Linked DNA regions of Ovis aries. The protein of the gene in region 1 purifies or fractionates together with the protein of each later gene. This does not show direct contact. Links are inferred from orthologs where the notes say so. Each region holds a gene or a part of one and is shown in the gene's direction. Other genes may lie near its edges.

Evidence for each region.
Region 2: the proteins of FLII (region 1) and LRRFIP2 purify together in Homo sapiens (affinity purification with mass spectrometry; 3 studies listed by BioGRID and IntAct, with this or other methods). This does not show direct contact. The link is inferred for Ovis aries from reciprocal best matches to the Homo sapiens genes FLII and LRRFIP2.

The regions. Positions count from the first base shown.
Region 1 is NC_056064.1:34,133,903-34,138,208, forward strand, and holds the start of FLII (protein flightless-1 homolog), read left to right. Parts: upstream 1-1,391; 5' UTR 1,392-1,419; coding exon 1,420-1,482; intron 1,483-1,688; exon of another isoform or gene 1,689-1,793; intron 1,794-2,992; coding exon 2,993-3,103; intron 3,104-3,453; coding exon of another isoform or gene 3,454-3,491; coding exon 3,492-3,563; intron 3,564-4,306. UniProt on the Homo sapiens protein: Is a regulator of actin polymerization, required for proper myofibril organization and regulation of the length of sarcomeric thin filaments. It also plays a role in the assembly of cardiomyocyte cell adhesion complexes.
Region 2 is NC_056072.1:10,384,288-10,388,620, forward strand, and holds the start of LRRFIP2 (leucine-rich repeat flightless-interacting protein 2), read left to right. Parts: upstream 1-1,530; 5' UTR 1,531-1,764; intron 1,765-4,333. UniProt on the Homo sapiens protein: May function as activator of the canonical Wnt signaling pathway, in association with DVL3, upstream of CTNNB1/beta-catenin.

The DNA.
Region 1 (4,306 bases):
CAGATGGCTGGGACCTCAGGCATCTTTGCCAGGCCCTGCAGGCTGAGCCCCAGCTCTCAGGCCCTGAGCACTGAGGGGGGTGTGTGACCAAGGGACAAGCCCAAGGGACCAGTCAGATGGCCAGGCAGAACTGTCACCCTGAGGATGCCTGAACAGATGACGCTGAGCTCAGAGCCAACTCAGCCCCAATGACTTCTGGCTGCCCTGCTCCCAGAACCGGGTGCCGGAGCCCGGTTGCCAAGTGGGGCCTGCAGCCCCGCACCCATCCCCCTTTCCCAAGCTAAAAATAGGAAAGACAGCGGAGGGGGTTGACCCAGCATGGCCCGGCGGCGGCTTCCTTCATCAGGACTGCCAACCGCCTCCAAACTGTAAAGCGCTCAAAGCCCCTGCCTGTCTGACCTGGGGCCCGCAGACCCTAACCAGGGAAGGGGAGAGGGAAAGGCCACGCCTCCCCTAGCCTCCTCCAAGCCCCGGCCGCGAGGACACCGAGGCCCGGGGAACGCCAGGATGGGCCCAAGAAGCGACCAGAACTCGGCTCGAGCCGGTTCTCTCCCGGCCGGAACCGCGCGGCCGATAGAGGCCACGCCCCGTGCCCCGGCCGTACCTGCGTCGCGGCTTCGGCGCCCCAGCCAGGGGACTCAGGGGGCCGCTCGGGCCGCGCCCCGGGGCCGCCTGGGAATGGAACGTGCAGGACCCGGGAGTCGAACGCCAAGGCCTGGGGCGGGCACGGGCCCCAGGCTCGCAGACGGACAGGCCCCGACTCCAATCAGAGCGCTCAAGGCCAGTGCCCACGTGCCGCCCTGAGGCGGCCTCGGCCAATGGCGGCCGAGCGCCCCTCGGGGCGTGGCTCCTCGGCAAGCTCCGCCTTAAAGGCGCAGGGCCACGCTCCAGGACTCGGCAGGTGGGAACGTGAGCTCCTTCCTGGCAAAGGAAGCATCCGGTGGGGCTCCTGGTCACTGTAGTCTGCGGCCGCCTCTCCCGTGAAGGGTATACTGGTCCTGTCACTTACTGGGACCGCTATGTGCCGGCCCAGGGAGGCCTCCCTCGAGGGGCAAGCGGGCACGTAACCGCGCACCCGGGCTGGCCTCCGACCCAGGACGCATAAGAGTGTGGGCACTGGCCCCGGAGCGTCTCCCGGAGGCTCGTGGCTCCGGACGAGGACCCGGGCGTCCTACTGCCACTGCCGCCCGAACCACCCAGGTCCCCGGCGTTGACCAGCTCAGGAACAGCCGGGGGCCGAGAAGGCCCTTTAGGGCACCGGGACACAGCGCTCCTCGAGGCCCCGCGCCCCAGGGCTGGCCCCGAGCGGCCCCGGGCTGAGAGGCGGGGCCGACGCGCTCCCCGCCCCGCCGGCTCCGCGGTCCCCGCCCCGAGCGCCGGGCCCCGCCCGCGGTCCTCTCCCCTCAGCCCAGCGCCGCCATGGAGGGCACCGGGGTGCTGCCGTTCGTGCGCGGCGTGGACCTCAGCGGCAACGACTTCAAGGTGAGCCTCTGGGCGACGGCCGGGACCCCCAGCCCGCCCCTCCGCTTCCTGCGCGCCCGGGACCGCGGACGGGCTTGCCCGGACCCCGCCCCGGCCCAACGTCCCAGGCCTCCGCCCGGCGCCCGCGAAGACAGCCCAGGCCGGGCGGGGCGGGCGGGCGCGCGTAGGGTCCCGGAGCTGCGCAGGGGCGCGCGGGGTCTGCTCACCGGCTGGGTCCTGGCGCCTGGCCCCAGCAGGCCGGCCGGGGGTCCCGGTCGGAGCTCGAGCTCGCGCCTCCCCAGCCCTCCCCGCCCCTGTGAGGTCACAGCCCAAGCCGGGCCCTGACTCATGGTTACGCCGCCGGCTCTGCGCTACCCGCACCCGCCACCCCCATCCTGTGTGGTCTTAGGCAAGTCACTTCCCCTCTCGGAGCCTCGTCTTCTCGTCTGGTGGAGAGGCTTACCTTGAAACCCCTGGAGGCGGGGATTAGTTGTGGAGGACGTGTTGGGCAGGTGGGCGAGGCCCTGGGTGCCATTTGTCTGAGCAGCTTCCGAACTGGCGGACCAGGGCGGCTGGGAACACCAGCCCAGCCTCGGGGCGGGACAGTGGTTCTTGAGAACTGAGAGTGAGGCCGGAGGGCTGGTGACCAGAGAGGAGGCCCTGAGAGATGGCCTGGTTCCAGGAGGGTCCTCAGGGTGGATGAGTGGGCTGACCCTGGCTGGCGTCAGTGGAGCATCAGCCTGGGTCTGCAGGGTCCAGTGGTCCAGGCAGTGGCTGGGGTCAGGGCAGAGGAGACAGGCCCTTTCTTCCTGTATTTACCCACACTTGCCACCGTGCACACTCCTCTGCCTCCATCCCCACCGTCCTCACCTGGAGTCCCCAAGTGTCCTCTTCAGTCTAGGAGAGTGAGTCACCAGCAGGGAATGTGGCCGTAGGGAGAAGGGGCACTAGCCCAGAGCACTGAAGGCATTAACCTCCCCAGGTTTCTGGCCACGGGGCTGGGGTCCTGAGGTGGGCATTTGAGTCTGGGGGACGAATGGGTGAGTGAACTAATGAATAAGCTATGCCTGTGTGGGAAAGGGTGGGGAGCTGGGGCCTCATGCAGGGGGTGGGTGGCAGGGCACAGGTGGGGCCTTGGCAGAGGCACAAAGTGCAGTTCAACAAATTGCACAGGCAGGGCCTGGATGCAAGGCAAAAACATTGAGTTGATCCGACCTCACAGCTGACTCTGGGGTGGCATCTAGAATAAGCCTTCCTGGGCCAAGAAGCCAGCAGGAGAGGCGGGGCTTAGGTCAGCAGCCATCCTAATCACCAGTGGGTTCTCAGGACGCTTTTGTCATCAGGGGGCTTTCATCAGCCCTATTCTACGGGTGAGAAAACTGAGACAGAGTGGCCAAGTGATGTGTCTGGGGTCACACACACAACTAGAAATGACTATTGCCCCCAAAGGCTCCCACAGACAGTGGGGGCCACAAGGTGGCAGAGCAAGGGTACCATGTCCCAGACCAGCCTCACTGTGACGTACCCGCAGGGTGGCTACTTCCCTGAGAACGTCAAGGCCATGACCAGCCTGCGATGGCTGAAGCTAAACCGCACCGGCCTTTGCTACCTGCCAGAGGAGTTGGCCTCCCTGCAGAAGCTGGTAAGAAGCTTTGGACAGGAAGGGGAGGGTCCAGGTGGATGGGGCTAGCCAGGTGGACAGAGCCTGTGCAGGACATTGCCTGTCACAAGCAGAACTGGTGGAGAGAGGATGAGCACCCTGTCCTGGGAGGTATGCAAGAAGACTAGGTGTGTGAAAGAAGAAAGGTGCAAGAGTGGACTGGACCTGGGTGGCCTAGGGTGCCTGGGTAGGGCAAGGCTGTGGTAGCAGATAGGGGCTCTGTGGGAAGATCCCTGGGTGGGGCAAGGCCCTGGTGGTGGATGGGGGCTCTGTGGGAGGGTCCTTGGACAGGGGAAGGCTGTGGTGCCAGTGGAGGCTCTGTGGACGCCCAGCCCACCCTGCTGAGCCTCTACACCCTGTGCCGGCCCAGGAACACCTGTCCGTGAGCCACAACAACCTAACCACGCTGCATGGGGAGCTGTCCAGCCTACCATCGCTGCGGGTGAGTGCTGCCCAAGACTGCAGAAGTCAAGGTGGGGACTGGGGGCAAGGCCAACCCCTCTGTCCACCCTGGTGTCAGGGGTTTGTGGGGAGAGAGCATGCAGTAATGACCTGAGTTGAGAAACACGTAGGAGAAAAGGTGAAAAAACCTAAGTCTGATCCATTTTGAACTGCTGTGATAGCTGATCCTGGCTGAGCAGCACTCCAGCTATTTCTCAAGGGTCTTTCATGTGATCCCAACCTCCACCAAGTTCACAGAGAGGACACTGACCAAGGGGGCAGGTCACTTGCCTGTGGTTTATCCCCAGTGATAAAGCTGGGGCAGGGCAGGGCAGGGGAGGTGGTCTGGATGGGTCATTCCCCCTGCTGTTCTCCATGGAACCTCCCATCCCAGATGTTCAGGCCATTCCAGTGGTCGTTCCCATTTAAGGTTGGAGCCCTGAGATGCGAAGGGCACACCTCTGGAGTCGGGTTAAAGCTGAGCTCTGCACTTTCCGAGATGGCCCTTCAGTGACCACCGTGAAGTGGCAAAGTGTCACCACACAGACATTGGGCAGAGAGGGAGCCGCAGTGGTGGCTCCTGTTTCTCCTTCTGTCAGTTGTGGCCATGGTGCCTTCCCCTGGTCTGTTCTGCCCCACTCGGCCATCCTGCCCTAATGTCCTGCACCATGAAAGCCTGAGCAGGTTTCAGCCCTAAGGGCACAGAAGACAGGCTTGCTGTGTGTCTATACTCTGATGCTTTTG
Region 2 (4,333 bases), on another chromosome or scaffold:
TGTGGCTGGAAGGATCTTTTTCCTTGTTATTGTTATATGCCTGATGTTTTAGTTGTGGCATGTGGGATCTGTTAATAGTTCCCCAACCATGGATCTGAACCCCAGATCCCCTGCATTGGGAGCACGGAGTCTTAAGCACTGGACCACCACGGAAGTCCCTTCCAATCCTAATATCATTCCAAACAGTCTTTCCATTAATTATGCAGTCATATAAACTAATACTTAATAAACATTATTGGATTATTGGTATTATTCAGGTACCTGAATAGGTTCTCTCTTGCAAGTCTGCTTTTTAGTTTAACTGAGTTAGCAAAACACGTAATTAATCCTTTTATTCAGATCGTAACATAGTGTGATCTTTTGGGGACATTAAGCCCCTCTTGATCCCAGGTAAAAACAAGTTTCAATATTTGTTCACAGGTCTGAGAAAAACAGCGACATGGAAAGAGAAAGAGCGCGAGGTTAGAGACTTTGTCTTTCCAAGGCTGATGGTATGAGAATCCTCCTGCCATGAAGCCACCTGTTGGTGTCTCTCTGCCTAAAGACCACAGTTCCGTAATCCACGCCTCCCTCGCAGTGCCACACTCCAGCCCTCATGAACTCTGAAAGGTGAGCAAGCCTTCTGAAATCGCAGGGGTGGGCAGCACACAAACAGCCCTTAGAAGGTATTCGAGCCAGGCTCTTAACATGGAATCATGGGCTTATTCAGCGGGTCCTGGAACCTACTACTGTCCCGGATGTAAAGTTGTATCGAAGTGTTTTGTGCCTTCTTCTCAGGAGGCTGCCCAACTGCCACTTCCCTCTGGAGGTCTTCTCCTGCCAGAGGTCTCGCCTACAGGATCTCTCATCACTTTGTGTATCACCTGCGGAGTCTCACCGCAATCTGTCATTACCTTATTTGCTTAAATCCGTCCACCCCACTAGAAGATGAGCTTCCCAAAGAGCAGGACCTCTGGTCTTTCTCCAGGGCCCTGAAGCCGGTGGATCTCGACTGAGACTCTCGGACTGAATGACAGCTCCGAATCCATCAGATATTGAACGGACTCTTTTCCCCCCAGCCCCGCCCCCAGCATTCTTCACCGGAAATCATTTCAAAATCATTCATTTTGGAAATAAAGCTTCCAGCGCTTCGGCCGCACCCACCCACCTACGTTCCAACGGTTAGAACTGCCGCCCCGGCCCACTCACCCAAGCCCTCTAGGCCGGACAGTTTAGAGGTGACCGAGGCAGGGGTAGCCGCCAACGGGCACGCGCATCAGTTCACATTCCCGACCCCCGTCCTGGGGGCGGAGGGGCGGGGTGGACCGCGCGGACCTGGAGGAACCACCTCAGGAGGCCGCCCCAGCCACCACCCTACTCGGGGTCCCCACTCTCTTCTGCGGCGGCACGCAGCCGGCCGCGGGGGGTTAAGCCCGTCGCGCAGCGCGCGCCGCCGCGACCACAAGTACTTCCGGGTGAGCGGGTCGCCGACCCTGTGGCCCCGCCCCTCCTCCGCCTCCGCCGCCCGCCGCTCGGGCTGCGGCTCCTCCCGGGGGCCGGTTCCCGCTGTCTCAGCCGCGGCGCCGAGGGGACACCGGCGTGACTGACTGACCGGCCGTAGGCGCCGGGAGCCGCCGCGTCCTGCCCGGCCCGCCTGGCCGGGGACCTGGGACCGAGTCTACCTTCCGCGCCCCTCGCCCTTAGCTCCGGCAGGCTCCCGGTCGGCGAGCCGCGCTCCGGCCCTTCCCGGCGGCGCCCGCAGCCACAGCCCGCGCCCGAACACAGGTAAGGGCCGCTCCTCCCGCCAGCCTTGGCGGGGAGCGGGGCCCGCGCTTCCCGGCCTCTGCAGCTCGGCGAAGTCCGCGCTGCCGCCGACCTCTGCTGGGGGCCAGGCCCCCTCCAGCGGGCCCCGGGGTCGAGGTCGCCCCCTGCCTGCGGCGTCCTCGGGCATCACGCCGGGTCTCGAACGCGCAGCCTCGATCCGCGAGCGGGGACGGCGATACTTCCATTGTGGGAGAAATGAACTCGGGCCGCTGTCTCTGCTCTTTGGGTGCTAGGGCTCCTCCTCCCTCTCCACTCCCTCGGTCTGTCCCCGGCCGGCCACCCGGGGAAAGGTGTCAGGCTGGTGGAGGGCGTAGAGCTTGTATGAGATTTTTTTTTTTTTTCCCCTTCCTCCTTGACCCGAACTGAATGAAGCAGGAGCAGAACAAGCGCTTGTTAGGAGTGTCAGGGTTAATGCTTGACTACGGCCAGGCGTTATTCACACCCAGATTGTTAAGTTATATAGCTCCAGCCGGGCCTGCTTCTCGTGCCCGTGGGTATGTTGCTGGAAGCCAAAGGACCTAAGGAAACCCATCTCTTGTTCTTTCTTCGACGGGGAGGGGAAAAAAAGTTCAAGTGTTTGCTTTGGTTTTTCTACCGTGGGATATACAAATATCAGGCTGTGGAGACCTGGCCAGGGAAATAATGGGATCCTAAACTTAAACTGCTTGTAGCTCTTTTTTCTTAGAGTTTCCATTTAATGACTCAGCACTTATGCCCTAAAAAGAAAAAGTGTAGTGTAGGTTCATTGATTGAAGGATAAGTGTGAGGATAACAGTGTCCATTACTTTTTCACGGCATCACAATGGGAGGAGAATGGGGATGCGGTAGTGGAACCAGAGAGATGGAGGGCAGGGTGTGGATGAATCAGGTCTTAATTAGTGTTTAAAATAAGTGTTTCAAGATTAAATGTTTATTTTGGGGATGCATCTGTTTGGAGAGGTGCAATTGTTGGAAAAGGCAAAGTGTTGCAGATAAGTTACTTGGCAGGAACTTGAGGTTGCTGTGGTTTGAAGGTCTTACAGAATTAACTTAGTTTAACCAACTTCATGCTGTGTTCAACACATGTAGAGATGATGACTATTATACTCATGTAGAATAAGAATTTCAGAAAGTGTGATTCATTGAGGAAGTTAGGTCACTCGCTGTGTGAATGAATCATTGATAGGGTTCTTAAACTTGGAATAGAGGAAAGTTTGAGGTTTGTTACTGCCTGTTTAATTAGATACCTTCACTCCTAGGAAGTGTTGCATTGAGGCTTTTGTTAGGTTTGTTGCTTCATAATTATTGTCATGAAGTATAGTAGAGAAACAAATAGTGGACTTTTGCAGAAGCTTTAGGATTTAGAACAGTTAGTTCCTAAGTGGATTGTTGTGATTTTACCCACTCTAGGAAGATAAATGTCTAGAAACAAAATAAATGCCAGTGAAAAGGACAGCTACCATCATTAAGGTAGGAAAAAGTTCACTCAAAGAATCTGCAGTACAGAAAACAAGCAGTCGTTTGAGGGAAAGACCTTACCCATTTGGGAAAATCTGCCCTTAAAAAGGTGGAATGAGACTTTATACGTGCTCAGTTGTGTCCAGCTCTTTGTGACCCAGCGGACTTTAGTCCATCAGACTCCAGAGTCCAATCCGTGGAATTCTCCAGACAAGAATACTGGAGTGGGTTGCCGTTTCCTCCCCCCAGGGCATCTTCTGACCCAGGGCTCTCTCACCTGCCTCTGCTGCACTGGTGGGCGGATTCTTTACCACCGACACACCTGGGAAGGCTATACAGAGCTCCTGCTTCAGTTCTGTCGTAGAAGAAAGCGTATATTAAAGTAGTGATTCATTATGGGAATGAATTCATTTTAAATTAGAAATAACTTTTAATTACTGGAATGTAACTTGATCATTTTTGGCTTTTAAAGTGTTGCTAAGCAAAATGACTTTGACTCACAGAGTTCTTGATACTCTTAGCCTTGATTTCTTCTATTTTTGGAAATCAGCTTATTTTATGTTGATTTATAAAGAACTGTATAGTTAATTATCAATTATTAAGTAATGGTAAATTTGCCCTGTTGATCTTGCTTAGTAAATTCTTTTAATTCTTGAACTAAATTTTGGCATTTTATTTCCTTGGATATCCATTCTTATATTCAGAGTGTTCCCTAATATTGCTTTTGATTTTTGTCCAGCTAATGGTGAGTTTCAGTTTCCAGTTGAACAGAGATTCCCTTTTGGAAAATCCCTTGTGGAAACCACCCGAACTGACAGTCCTGATGGGTAGATTTGTAAGAGAATCCTTCTTAGGTCAGGATTTAAGCATCTCCACAATGAAGGGAAAAACTGATTCGGAGAATATGTTTGGCAAAGTAGATTCTTTTTCTCTCAAAACAACAACAGATCTTTACTAGAAACGAGAGGGAGCAGTTTCTTGCAAAGCTCTTTGTGAATTGTTTACCCTGCTCCTAGTGTGAAGAGGAACAGAATCGAAAATATATGGGGGGGGGGGGGGGATCTCCCTGCACCATGTTGGGAATGTTGATGAG